2 linked regions of the Lonchura striata genome follow. The protein of the gene in region 1 purifies or fractionates together with the protein of each later gene. This does not show direct contact. Links are inferred from orthologs where the notes say so. Each region holds a gene or a part of one and is shown on either strand. Other genes may lie near its edges.

Region 1 (6,962 bases):
ACTGTTTGCATACCTGGTGGCTAGATACAATTACTCTTCAAACCATTAGCCTGTGGAATGGAACCAAACACTGCTTATTCTGTAAGATCATGTTAAACACAAACCAAGAACAGGAGAGTAATCAGCTCAGTTATGTCAACTTTTCTCCTAACTTGGAAACCAGCACCAGTTCATTGGGTGGTTAAGTATGACTTTGGGGTCACTGACCCCCAGGGACCACCACTTAACCAAACCATTTAATCTATTTCTGCATGAAAGGATGCACCTGGCACTAGGGGTATGGCACAGAGTTTGGGGTCATGGAAGCAGCCTGTAAAATACTTTTCCAAACAACTGGGTAAGAAGAGTAATGGATGATCTAGATGCTTGAGAGCAATGGCTTTTAAATCCAGGAAGCATGAAACTGACAGCAGGACAAAAGCTTATCATAGACATATCCCCCACGGTAATAGCTGTTTTGGAACAGAAAGGAGAACATTCGGCATCACCAGCAGAATGCTGCAACACCGAGTTTTCCTACTGAAGCAGGATGATGTGGAACTTACAGGAACTACTGCTTTGAACCCAGCCACGTTTCTCCAAGCTTCACGAGAAGCCCAGAGTTCTACCATCACTGCCTGGTAACCACTGAACAAGCGTATTTTAGCAGACCACATCTCAAGAGCAATCCCACCAACGACCCAAAATTAGAGCTATATCCACATGGGAGGACACGGTACAAAGTGGAATATGGATTTTTGGTAACACCACGTCACCAGGGTTCCTACTATCTGCCACCCTCCCGGTGGGGCAGTTATGGGCCCTGTAGAATGACAGCACGTAGCAGGTGAGGATTTCTTACCGGCGAGGTCCAACGTCCTGTCCACGAAGATGACAGAGGCCTTGTTGGTGGCTGTCCTCCTCCTGTTTCTGGCTGAGGCATAGCTTGCTAGCTCAGCGGCGACGACCCTGCTGAGGCCCCCCACAGCGAAGCTCTCCTCCCGCAGGCCCAGGGCGGTGAAGAGAGAGTCGAGCTCACCCACCAGGGCCCGCACCGCCGCCCGCAGCTCGGCGGGCAGCGCACCCAGTCCAACCTCTGCGGGGCCGGGGCCGCCGGGGCCGGGCAGCGGCGGGAGGAGCGCTGCCAGGGCGGGCAGCAGGCAGAGCTCCGCCGAGACGGGCGCCAGGAGCGGCGGGCCGCGCAGCACCACCTCGGCGCGGCCGCCCTCGCCCATCCACCGCCGCAAGGTCTCCTCCAGCTCCGCCGCCGCGCCGCCGTCCGCCTCGTCGCCGCACACCAGGGAGCAGTGCCGCACGGCGCCCCGCTCCAGCACGCCGCGCACCGCGGCCGCCGCGCCGCCCCGCAGCGTCCCGCTCACCACGAACACGACGCGGGCCGCCCCCGCCGGCACCGCCGCCTCGGCGGACAACGCGCTGACAGCCAACGCCCCGGCCGCCAGCAGCTCGCCCGCCCCGCCGGCCCAGTGCAGCGCCTCGGCGGAGGGCGCGTCCATGAGGACGGCGGCGCGGCGCGCCCGGGCCAGCGCGGGCTCCCAGGCCCGGCGGCTGAGCTGCCGCAGCGCCTCCGGCGCCGCCATGGCGCTGACAGCCACAACACGCCGCACGTGCCGGCGCGCCCCGGCGCCGCGCGATGACGTGCCGGGCGCGGGCTGGCCGCGCGCGCGGGGCGGGGCGCTGGCGGGGGCCGGGCCGCTCCCGCGGGAACGGCCGCTGCCACGGCGCTCTGCGTGTCCGGACCCCAGAGGCGGGAGGGACCTTCATCGCTGCCCCTGCCCTGCTCTTGGGTACTCACTGTGCTAGGGTTAGCAAGTGCTTTGGTGAATGACCTGGCGACACGGAGTACTCTCGCTCAGTAAATGCGACTTTTCGCTGTACAGTTAGAGACGTATGACAAATTATTTTAATTCCATGTCCCCCTTTAAAAGCCTATCATCTCGAAATCGGTTTCAAAACTAACTAGAAAAAAAATGCCATAACAAGCATCTACAGTTTCTTCTCCCCAGAAAATGGATGGCCCGCCTGCAAATCTGTGCTCTACATAGAATTCAGCTGGGCAGCCTCCTTGGTGCACAGCCAGGAAGGCACCTTTTCTGAGACAGCAGGATTATCAGCATTAATAAAGAGATAAAATACTTAGTTACTTCACCTTCCATCTTAACTGCTGTTCTTAGGTCTCTTACAGATTCAATTATCTTACAGATTCAAATGGTTTCAGGACACTGAAAAACATGAGGAACACTGAATTCACTAGATTTCCAGTAATTAAATCAGATCCTTTCCTTTCAGTGTTCTCTACTGATATTGCTACTCAGATGCATTCTTCCCTTTCTTTGTGCTTTCTTTCTAGCACCAATCTGTTATTTTAACTATAGGGCATATAGCTTCATGATGCTAGATAAATATGTAAGTTAATAGTCTTCTTGACGATTTTGATTTGAGAAATGAACACTAAGGATGGGGGCTAGTTAACTACTATTGTGTGAAGTGGCAAAGTAAACATAACAGGAATGAAAATTCAGACACCGATGTCTATGAAGAGGTACTACATATACACATTTGTCTTATGAGAAATAAGTGACTCAGTGGTGAAAAATGCCTTTGCTGACTCCACAATTATTTGTGCAAAAATGAAATAGCAAGATGAAAACCTACCCAGTTACATCACATAATTCATTACCTGTTCCACAATACTCAGACATTTAATTTTGCGGGGGTGAAAAATAAATTTGAGTGGGTTGGTTGTTCTTGTGAACTCCAGTGAAATGTCATGCCATATATGAAACATTCAAATAAGCTTCTCTCTGTAGGCAATTAAAATAAAATCCCCTCACTGTGAGTTGTGTTTATGTTACAGTCCTCTAGTCTGATTTTTCCCAAACTGACCTGCTGTGAAAAAGCAGACCCCTGTTTTAGTTTTCACATACATCCTGAAACACCACAAGCTCCATTTGTACACACATCTGGTCGAAACTTATTTGGACAGTTGTTGGTACTTAACCTTTCTAATGCACCTTGCAGGTGTTGTCTAGCATTCACAGATGTAAAGTGAGCAAATCACCAGGAAAAATGGCTCACTACTCCTCACCGCTTCTAAAACAGAATTAGTGAAATTCATAGAAACACTTCGAACACAGAAACACGTTGAAAGATTCACAGCATACTATGAATGTTAAACTCTCACTGTACCTAAAAACAAAGTCAGGAAATTTGTGGAGGAAAAAAAAAAAATCTATGAGGAGTTGTTAAACCTAAAATACTACGTCCAGCTTGGATAGCTGCTGAGCCGAGGGACAGTACTAGCAGAGGCAGCGGCGTGTTTACCCCGTGGTTACGCTCCCTCGGCAGCTGCCATCAGCCGCCAGTAGATGCACAGACGCACGGCACTGGAGCGTACGTGTGTTTAGCCAAGTCCTGCTTCTGGCGATAGGCGAGGATGTTCTCAGGAGATGGCCATGCTGCCGGTGATCCCTGCTATGGGGACGGACGGGCGTCCAGGGACGCAGGAGAGCACAGGGACCACCTAGAGCACACGGCAGCGAGAGGAAGGGAAGGCGGCTCTCGCAGCGCGCCCCGGGAGAGCGGCGACAGGCCGGCCGCGGTGAGTGGGCGCGCACGGACGGAGCCCGGGCGGCTCGGCGGGGAGGGCAGTCGCGGGGCCGGGCCGGCCGGGCCGCCCCCCGCAGCCCGTGCCCGGGGCGCCGCAGGGCCGGGCCGGGCCCGCTTCCTGTGCGTGTCACTCACGCGGGGGGAGGGGAAGCGCCGGGCGGCGGCGGCGGCGGATCCTCCGCGAGAGGCCGCGCTGGGCGTTCGCGGCCGCCCGCCCGCGCAGCGCCTGGCCGCGGGCCGAGGCGCCGGGGAGCCCGGGGGCGGCGCGGCGGGGCGGCCGGCGGAGGGAGGCGCTGCCGGCGCCGGGCCCGCGCGTCCCGCGGGAGGCGGCCATGTCTACCGGCGAGGCGGAGCGGTTGTCGGCGGACGCCGATGGGGCCGCCGGGGACGAGGAGGAGGAGTGGCTCTATGGCGGTACGGACCTTCCCCGACCCCCGTGCCCAGCCCGCCTCCCCGGCGGGCCGGCCCGTGCCGCCGCGGCGGGGGGGCCGCGCGGGGTGCGCAGGCCGCGCCGTGAGCCGCCTCGCCGGGCCGCTGAACAAGGCTCCCCAGTCCCGCCGCCCCCGTGGCTGCTCAGGCCCCTCTCTCTTCCCGGCCAGCCGCCCCGGGGGCGACGGCTCCCGGCCCCGTCCCTTCCCCGGTCTCCGCTGCCGGTGCCGCGGGCCCTCAGCCCGGGCCGCGCAGGCCGAGGCGGGCCGGGCCGGGCCTCAGCGGCGAGAGCCCCGCGTGGTGTCCCTGCCCCACAGGCATCCCTGCGGGCACCGAGCCCTCCCTGATGCTCTCCTGCCCGAGTTCCCGGCGTTGAAATACTGAAAGAGGCTTAACTTTTAATTTATTAACTTTTTGTACAACTTTAGGGACTATCTTTACGTTCAGATATTAATGAAACATATAAACTAAACCTCGTCCATGTGGTGGACCTGTCAGTGCAGAGCACTGTGAGCACTCGACTGATTTCACAGTTGAAATGTTAACAACATATCTCAATAGTCAATATGTCTCTGAAGACTTACCTAATACTCTGCATGCCAAGATAATCTGTTACAGTTGATACCCTAGGGATTTTGTTCTTAAGTATTGTGTTTCTTTTCTCTTATGGTAGATGAAAATGAAGCAGAGAGACCAGAGGAAGAAAAATCTAGGTGAGTATCCTGACAAATGAAAGCCCTGTAGCATGACTGCACAAAAGATGTGTTCACTACATTCTTCTTCCCAGCTCCTTGAAAGTTGGTAGGACCTGAACACGCTCTGGTGTCTTAAAAAATGTCCTTAAGATAGTATGTTTGGACTTTGCTTTTCTGTGAAATGACTATACCTGTGAAATTGGGTCCGTTAAGTATGAAAGTTACTTTAACTGTATGTAGCAGTAACCCCTTACAAAATGCCAATAGGTCTAATTATTGTGCTTTGTGGTCTTAATGATGGATCAGGACTTGTTTGAGATAATTTACCAACTAAAAAATATTCTTTCTCCTGAAGAGTTTTCAGTGTAGTTGCAAAAACAGGGATACAAGGAAGCAGTGGAAGATTACCAGGTAGTTTGATGTACAGATCAGATCTGCTTAGGTGAAAGCAGGGTTAGTTTGGGTTGTTTTTTTTACTAGTAAGACAGTATTTGAAAGAAACTTAGAGAAACTTAGGAAAGCTTTGGAATATTTGAGGGGAGCCTGCTTGAGTTGCAAAGAGCTGTGTGAAGGCACAAAGATGCTCCCTTGAAAACTAACAAAGTTAATGGAGATTAGTAATGAGGACTGACTGGAAAAGGGAATCAGTCACTCATGCTGAATGAAGGAAATTCTCATAATTTGTAAAATACAGAAATTATTGATTGTCAAAGTATATGAATCAAATAAAGGGAAAATCAGTATATAAAACATGCATTGTTATTTTCTATAGATGTTTTCCATGTTTTCAGTAAGAACTCTTGCATTTGCTTAGCCTTAGTGGATTGCTTGTTCATAAGCCTGCTCAGTTGCTCTTTTGAGCTCGTATCAACTTTAACAAGCACAGAATGACAAAGCAGTAATGATCTCCATGACATGACTATATATGATATTATTGTGAAGCAGCTACTAGGTGTGATTATTTGATTCCCATTATTTCTGTAGTATAAGAAACAGAGTTGCTTTCTTTCACTTTTTCCATCTCACTTAATGGGTTTCTAGACCTCTGTTGCATTTGACTTGAATCCTCTCTCTTCCAGAACAAAGAAGTTGTTACATTTTTGGGCTTTATTTATATCAGTTCATTCCTTATGTTCAGTTACCTTTTCTTGACCAATGTGTTTGTCACTACTACTGTTACTTAGGAAAATTACCTGCATGGAGGCCAAAATGATCTTTAGAAACAGTGTACTCCAGTTTTTGGTCAGTAGTGTCTAGCTTGGCATTTTGGTCTTGCAATGCATAGTTTTGGACAAAAAGCATAAAAAATACTAACTTATGCATCTTAGGAGTTGTGTTTGGAACTGTGGAAGTATGGGGACAGTTCAGCTGTTAAAAGTTGTGGTCTCTGGCCTCTCAGTTTTGGCATTGTTTGTATATACAGGAATGGTGATGTGTTATTGAGGTTCTGTACCTGTCATTTTACTAGGTGATGAAGTGAAACGATCAAGCTGGAATCCTGAGGCAATAGCTGGGCTGTATTGTGTGCAGCACTAATGGGTGTGTTGCCAACAGAGTATGGGGTTAGATTCATTCTATTCAATGAAAATTGGCAATTGCACACTCTGTTTCAGAAATAACCTTTTCAGTGAAAAAATATTGTTTCTAGATGGCTCCCTGCTTACTCTGCTTTTTGTGATGCAGCATCCTAACAGCTAATGGGACTGTGGAAATTAAAATATTACTGTCTAGGAAACAGCTGTAGATAGGCTCAGTGAGACAGCTCATTTGCATGGATGTCACAGTACTCATCCTTTTAGATGGACCAGTAGTTTTAAAAATTTTATGGTTCTCAATCTACAGATAAAATATCATTGCATTGTAACTATTCCATATGGTAGAAGAAAATTTTACGATGCTGATGTGGGAATTCTGTTTTGGTGGAACATTACCTGTGGGTGTTTAAATGTGGTTTTTTATTTTTTTTTTCCATTATATCTTTGAAAAGTGTCAGTCTGCAGGGGAAAAAAAACCCAAACAACTTATTCTCCCTTCATATGTTGCAAAGTATTTCAATTTGATTTCAAAGGAAGGTCCAGGTGTCATTGCTTCCAACTATTCTACAAATATCCAGTTAGTATGATTTATGATAGCTAAATGTTTCTAATATAAAGTTATATTCATCTAGGTTTTTTTTTTAATAAGTTGACTTTGTTTTTTAATTAATGCAGAAGACAACTGGAGCTTTGGCTT
Region 2 (6,911 bases), on another chromosome or scaffold:
TTTGTTTTATTCTCTTTACATTCAACACTAATGGAAAGCTGTTGAGTGTCACATGTTCCAGCAATACGCTACACTGAGTATGATCTGAGTCACTGAAGATCTCCCCATTAAATCATGCACATGCTGTAACTTCATCTCTGCAACCTGCTCTAGAAAGCCTTCCCTTGTGTTACTGGTTATAGAGAGTTCTGAGCTATCTGCTGCTAGACGTAAGTAAATACTTTTAACAGACATCAGTAAATTTCAAAAAAAGTTACAAAAACAAGAAAGAGAAACAAACACCTAAACATTCTTTGGCATGACCTCCTCTGCACTAAGTAAAAATTTTATCCATTTCTAGATACAATTGCAATTAATGCAGACTGACATAAGGCTAATGAATTCAGCACTGCAAAACACAGTATTTCAGAATTCAGTCCCTTTAAAAAAGTTACTTTAACTCTTAACTGCTCTGTTGCCTTTCACTAAAAGTAAGTTCTTGAGGTGGCAACTTTACCTTTTAAGTTCACAATCTGAGAAAACTTCAGCTGTTGTATCTTATCAAAGGCTGCATCTACATCATCCAACGTAAAGAGTGTGAAATCTTCAGTATTATGGCGGGACTAAAACAAACAAAGAGGTACAGAGCATTCAAACACTCCACCATATCACAGATGATGTGTATGAAAGTATCAACTTAAACATACCTGGTAGAGATCATACATAAACATCTGTCCCATTTTATATACAGGAATAGTTGCATAAATGGCACAATTCAATCCCATTTTTCCAACTGCATATGGAAGTGCACCAAGGTGTAGAGGGTCAGGGTGGGAAAGAAGAACAGCATCAACCTGGTGTACGTGCCTATAAAAAGAGGGCCAACAAAAGCCATTGAATGGAGCTCTGTATGGTTTTGTATATCCCCTGCTAGAGATATTTTGAGAATACATACACAATCTGAATGCCAAATAATGAAATTTAAACCCTTCAAGAACTGGGACAGTTTTAAAAATCATAATTAAAACTTACAGGTGTTTCCTAATGTTCAAGTATTTAAAAACACAAGTGACTTCAGAAAGCATAACTTTTAGATCAGAAGACATAAGTTTCACATCAAACTCCTGATAAAAAAAGACCTTAGTATATAAGTGGACACCAGAAAGTAAATTAACTGAAGGACCAAGAATATTATCAGTATAGATGTGCTACAAATTGCTTATACACCCCAAAACAGACTACAACTTTTCTTCTGATGGGAGTGAACAAGTAATAGGACCAAAGACACAACAATCTTTAAACTGATAAAGACCAAATCAAAATATATTTCTTTAAATACAGAAAAGATCAAACATATAATTTAAGAAAAGTAGCACATCAGTTTGGGGGATTTTATTACTCTTAAAAACATTTGTTTTTTCTTGCAAAGTGTTGCATAAAATTAGAACTCTGACTAAAACCTTTCTACATATCATAACTGAAAAACTTGAGAGCATAAAACACATGTAACAAATGAAAATACAAGCTGGACTGACAGTTTTTTGTTCCCTTGCATACTAAGAGGGACATACACATTCATCTCAATGGCTGTTATGATACAGGGAATTTTATCTAATTGCTTCTTAGATAAGACACTTAAAAAATTGTATAAATTATCCTCAACAATCCTCACTTAAAAGATTTCAAACATTGCAAGTGTGTCAATGCTACAAAACTAGTATCAAAAAGCTCAGTTTCCTTCCTAAATTTCCATGTTTCAGTCCTAACTTGGCAATCAGCACAGCTCCTTGTTGTACATCTGAAGAAGTTCAGTATTGAAGGCTGGGTAGATTTTGGGTTGGAGGGGTTTTTTCCCTTTGCAGGGCTAGTGTCTTGACAGAAGGTGTTTTCCTGACAGTCTATTCAACTTGAAACAAGAGCCAAGAGTTGAACTGCTTTGTATCCAGCCTACATACAGGAAGGCTTCCTCTCCCATTTAAAACTTAGTTAACTATTCTGAATTAGCTGACAGTCAAGGTCAGTCTCCCCTAAAAGGTGTCACATTTATGACAATAAAAAACAAACAAATCATATAAGCCAAAACAAAAAGTGAACAGTTTGAGAATTACAGTCAAGAGACACAACTCATTGGACTGACAAGGAAAATATCCCAAGTTTCTGCAGGAAATGTTTCAGCAGTGTGATACCCTTCATGTAAAATATACACAAAACAAAACAAAAGAACAATTTTGCATTTAGCAACACTATACCACTGCGTGGAATTTTGAAAACTTTTAAGATAGACCAAGCCCTAATTTAACAGGTGTATGAACTGAACTACTTACTTCCTCAGAGAATCAATAATATCCATAGAAAAGTTTTCATCCCAGCCACAGTCCAAAAGAAAACGAAACTCATCTACTTGCAAAAGATAGCAGAGGGCAGATTCCTCCTGCACCCCCGAGAGCGTAGTCAACTTGATAATCGATGTCATTTTCCTCTCCAAGTGTTTAATCTCCAAAAGAACTAATCTGAATGGGGGACAAAATGTTTCACTTAGATGTTATTTAGATCTAGCTTCACATATTCCTGAAAATATGCAGGCTAACGGTGTTAATACTGTTCAATACAGCTGCTAAAGTCGCAGACATTAACATTCTACTCTTGCAGGTATTAGAAAGAGGTGGGGTTAATTTTCTACAATAAATATCAAGAATAATTTTAAAAAGGATCCCTAAGAGCAGCGCGGTTAACAGCAGCTCCACGGAGCTGGATGGGGGCACCCAGAGATGGCACATCCAGGGCCGCGACCCTCCAACCCAGGCCTGCCCGACCATGGGCACAGCGCGGGCCGGGCGCCCCGCGGGGGCTCCGGGGCTCCAGCGCCCCACCGGGCCTGGCGCCCGGGCCTGGCCTCTCGCCGGGCGGGGACGGGGACACGGGGGCGAGCGGTGCGCGCACTCCAGTCCGAGACGAGGAGAACAAGGGGAAGAGGAGGATGATGATGCGAAGAAGCCGGTACCTGCCGCCCTCAACCACCCCCAGCCCGCGCCGCGCTCGCCGCCATCTTGCGGGGGCGGGGAGGCGGGGCAGCGGGCGGAAGGGTAGCGGGCGGCACCACCGCGAGCCTGCCGGGGGGAGCGCGCTCCTCCCCCGGCCCCGCGCAGCGCGTGGTCTGGCCCGGCCCGCCCGTTCCCGGTGCCCTTGGCGCGGCCGCTGCGGTCCCGCTGCGGCGCGAGCGGCGGTAATGGCGGGGTGGCGCGGGGCGGGACCGCTGTCGGGCCTGCCGGGAGCGCCTCGGCCGGGACACGGCGGCGGCGGGCGGGCGGGAGCGAGCGCCCCTCAGCCGTGGGGCTTTACGGCGGTCGGGTCCCGGGCAGGCCGGAGGCGGCTGAGCCGGGAGGTGGTGGGGCCGTGCCGCGAGTCAGCGGCCGGGCCCGGGGCGGGGGTTCCGCAGGGGTGCCCGCCTGTCCGCCTGCCTGTCCGCCTGCCTGGCCGCCCCACAGCGGCCGCGGCGCGAACGGCGGCGGAGTTCGCCCCCGGGAGCCGGCCGGGGTCCGAGCCCGCGGCTGTGTGACAGACCTCACTGCCATCCCGTGTAATTCCCTAATCTGGAAGGCTTTGGTTGGGTTGGGAAGGTTTGCTGGGCCCCTATAGTTTGGAGAGGTCTGCGAGGGGATCTCACTAATGGGTGTAAATATCTCAAAGACGGGTGCCAAACTCTTTTCGTTGGTGCCCAGCAATGGGACAAGGAGCAATAGCCATTGCTAAAACACAAGAAGTTCTGCCTCAAGACGAGGAAGAACTTCTTCAATTTGAGGGTTACAGAGCACTGGAACAGCTTTCCAGAGAGGCCGTGAAGTCTCCCTATCTGGAGACATTGAGAAACCACCAGGATGTGTTGACAGAGAGGTTGGACTGGATGATCTCCAAAGGTCCATTCCAACTGTAATGATTCTGTCATTCTGTGATTTTAGAAAAGTCCTTTCTTATCTGTCAGTCTCTGAGACTTGACGCAGATAATGAAGTCTCCTTCTACAGAAGTTTAGGTTATGAAAGTGTTTCTAATGCTTTACAGAGTAGCAAACTTCTATAGAATTGCTTTAAAGAGTAAATTAAAGAGATGTTTTATTTCTCTCCTGTTTTAGGATGAAATCCTTTTTCCCAGGGTTAACATTTAGGATTATTTCTAAGAAGGCCGGGTATGGGTTTGAGAGCAGCATGTTTCTCCCAGGAAGTGTTTGATAGCCTTCATGTATATTATGTAATTGTGGAATCCTAATAAGTGAGAGTAAAGGTGCCAAGCATGCACCAGTTTCCAAGTGCACAAGTATTAGTACCTCTTACCTCCTACACTTTTCTTTCTAGCAGTCATGGTGAATTTCGCCCAAGCTGTGCGTGAACACTGGGTTCACATCCTTGTTCCCTTAGGATTTGTGATTGGATGCTATTTGGACAGATGGAATGATGAAAGATTGTCTGCCTTCAGAAACAAGAGCTTATTATATAAAAGGTCTGCTTTATGATGCCTCTTGTATACGTATATAGTTATTATTCAAAGTGCTTCTCAGTTCTTTTTTAGTCATGATTGTAACCAAAAAAAGGGAAGAAAGGCCTAAAAATATCAAGCATTCATGAAGTGTTTTAGGTCAGTAATACCCTCTGAAAACGGAATCTTTAGAAGCTATCATCTTCATGAAAGAAAGAATCATTAACTGCTGTCAAGTTCGTGGTCATGAAATATGGAAACCATTATTTTAACTCTCTGTAACTTCAGCAGAAAACACAGTGCTTGAGTTTTTATTTTCTTTCTTAAATTTAAAATTATCACAGTGCTTTTTGACAAAATTCTTTTTATAAATGTGTGTTACTTAAAAGTAATTACCAAGTCCTTGAAAATTAACATACAACCTGCTATGTCTTCACTGAATTATGTGATTATATACACTGATGAGTTTGGGTTTTCTGGCTCTGGTTCCTCAGGGAGTATTTACATCAGAGAACTTCAGGCATTGACTCACCTGTGTCAGTTCTAATTCTGTATTAGGTCTTGAGGTTAACAAAAGAGGAGAGAAAAAAGTCATGTTGCAGAAACTGATAGTAGCTATCAGTTTTCTAGTGGATTTGTCTTTCCTCCTCTGGCCTCACCTAAATTCATTTTGAATAAGAAAGAAAGCTTTTGACATAATCCACTCCCCTGATACATTAGCACTTTTCTTAATGTATTTGTTAGTGAAGTTGGGCTGCTATGTCGGTGTCTTGTAAAAATCCCTTCTTCTTTCACATTTCTCTTTCCACTAAAGTAATGAATTGTTACATTTTAAAAAAGTAGAATTTTTCATTTTGGATCCAGTTAAAAGTCTGTTAACTACTTAGAAGTCAGCTGTTCTGTGCTTCCATTTAAATGAATGGAAATTCAGAGGACTCAATCCATTGAAGCTTTTGAAAGAAAGGAGGAAGTTTATCAGTATGGAAAGATTTTTAACTGACAGCAATTGCAAGGAAAATTAAATTTTTACATAAATCTCAAATTGAAGGTATGGTTGAATGTAAACTAACACAAATATTAATAATTATTCTAAAAATAATGATACTAATTTTAGTCTCTTCCCTCTTGTTTTTTGGGTTTTTTTCTACACAGGGAATTGAAGCCTGGTGAAGAAGTAACTTGGAAATAAAAGCTGATGATGAAAAGGAAGACATTTTTGTTTGATTCATCGTCTTACATATTGAAAGAACAGGAATATGATTTTTACCCTGAGAGGATACTACAGTAAAGGACATCTGCAGTTCATCAGTGCTAGTTTAATATCTGGTGTTACTTTTTGAAGATGATTTAATTACATGACTCATATATGTTCAGGAGTTCCATTAGTCCACAAGCATTGAGAGAATTTTCTTCCTTACTCTGGAAAGGAGAGGAAGAATTATAGAATAAACTATGCAAAAATCATTTATGTTGGTATTGCTGTGTATGGTGTGGAATCCGTGTGTTTATAGCTATTTCATGAACTAGCCTTCAAAGAAATACTTCCATAAATCCAGAATGTGTTTGACAGGTACTGAACCTGCTTAAGTTGCTTTCTGGATTGTCTCTGTAGGCTTGTTTGGAATAGTGGTTAAGCAGTTATTGAGGCTTTGTGAGCGGACCAGGAGGGTCTAAGGAGTGCGCAGCTGGTGAGCACAAGGCAGGAGCGGTGCCGGGCGCCGCTCCGCTCGGTGCGGGGGAAGCGGCGCGGGGCCGGTGCGGATAGAAGCGGCGCGGGGCCGGTGCGGATAGAAGCGGTACCGGGCCGGTGCGGATAGAAGCGGTACCGGGCAGGTGCGGATAGAAGCGGCGCGGGGCCGGTGCGGATAGAAGCGGTACCGGGCCGGTGCGGATAGAAGCGGTACCCGGCCGGTGCGGATAGAAGCGGTACCGGGCGGTGCGGATAGAAGCGGTACCGGGCCGGTGCGGATAGAAGCGGTACCGGGCCGGTGCGGATAGAAGCGGCGCGGGGCCGGTGCGGATAGAAGCGGCGCGGGGCCGGTGCGGATAGAAGCGGTCCCGGGCCGGTGCGGATAGAAGCGGTACCGGGCCGGTGCGGATAGAAGCGGTACCGGGCCGGTGCGGATAGAAGCGGTCCCGGGCCGGTGCGGATAGAAGCGGTCCCGGGCCGGTGCGGGGCCAGCCGGCAGAGGAGCGAGCCGGCGGCGGGTGTCGCTCCCCGCGGGCGCTGCTGCCGCGCGGGGGCGCTCGCGGCCAGCGACGGTTTAGCCCGCCGGCCTCCTCTCCGGCAGGGGGCGCCAGAGCGGCGGGCGGGCCGGGCGCAGCCGGCGGGGCCTGCCCTGCGCGGCCGGGGGGCGATGGGCGCTGCGATTGGCCGGGCGGGTCACGTGGGGCGGGGGCTGCGGCTGCCACAGTAAACATGGAGTCGATCTTCCACGAGCGGGTGAGCGAGGGAGGGAGGGAG

The links.
Region 2: the proteins of FIP1L1 (region 1) and CPSF2 purify together in Homo sapiens (affinity purification with mass spectrometry; 7 studies listed by BioGRID and IntAct, with this or other methods). This does not show direct contact. The link is inferred for Lonchura striata from reciprocal best matches to the Homo sapiens genes FIP1L1 and CPSF2.

The regions. Positions count from the first base shown.
Region 1 is NC_134606.1:26,635,267-26,642,228, forward strand, and holds the start of FIP1L1 (pre-mRNA 3'-end-processing factor FIP1), read left to right. Parts: upstream 1-3,876; 5' UTR 3,877-3,938; coding exon 3,939-4,020; intron 4,021-4,708; coding exon 4,709-4,748; intron 4,749-6,962. Other genes in the region: SCFD2 (sec1 family domain-containing protein 2), read right to left, coding at 842-1,577.
Region 2 is NC_134608.1:16,334,629-16,341,539, forward strand, and holds the start of CPSF2 (cleavage and polyadenylation specificity factor subunit 2), read right to left. Parts: upstream 3,048-6,911; 5' UTR 2,981-3,047; intron 2,490-2,980; 5' UTR 2,453-2,489; coding exon 2,304-2,452; intron 847-2,303; coding exon 687-846; intron 603-686; coding exon 497-602; intron 1-496. Other genes in the region: NDUFB1 (NADH dehydrogenase [ubiquinone] 1 beta subcomplex subunit 1), read left to right, coding at 4,332-4,471, 5,600-5,636; ATXN3 (ataxin-3), read left to right, coding at 6,867-6,890. UniProt on the Homo sapiens protein: Component of the cleavage and polyadenylation specificity factor (CPSF) complex that play a key role in pre-mRNA 3'-end formation, recognizing the AAUAAA signal sequence and interacting with poly(A) polymerase and other factors to bring about cleavage and poly(A) addition.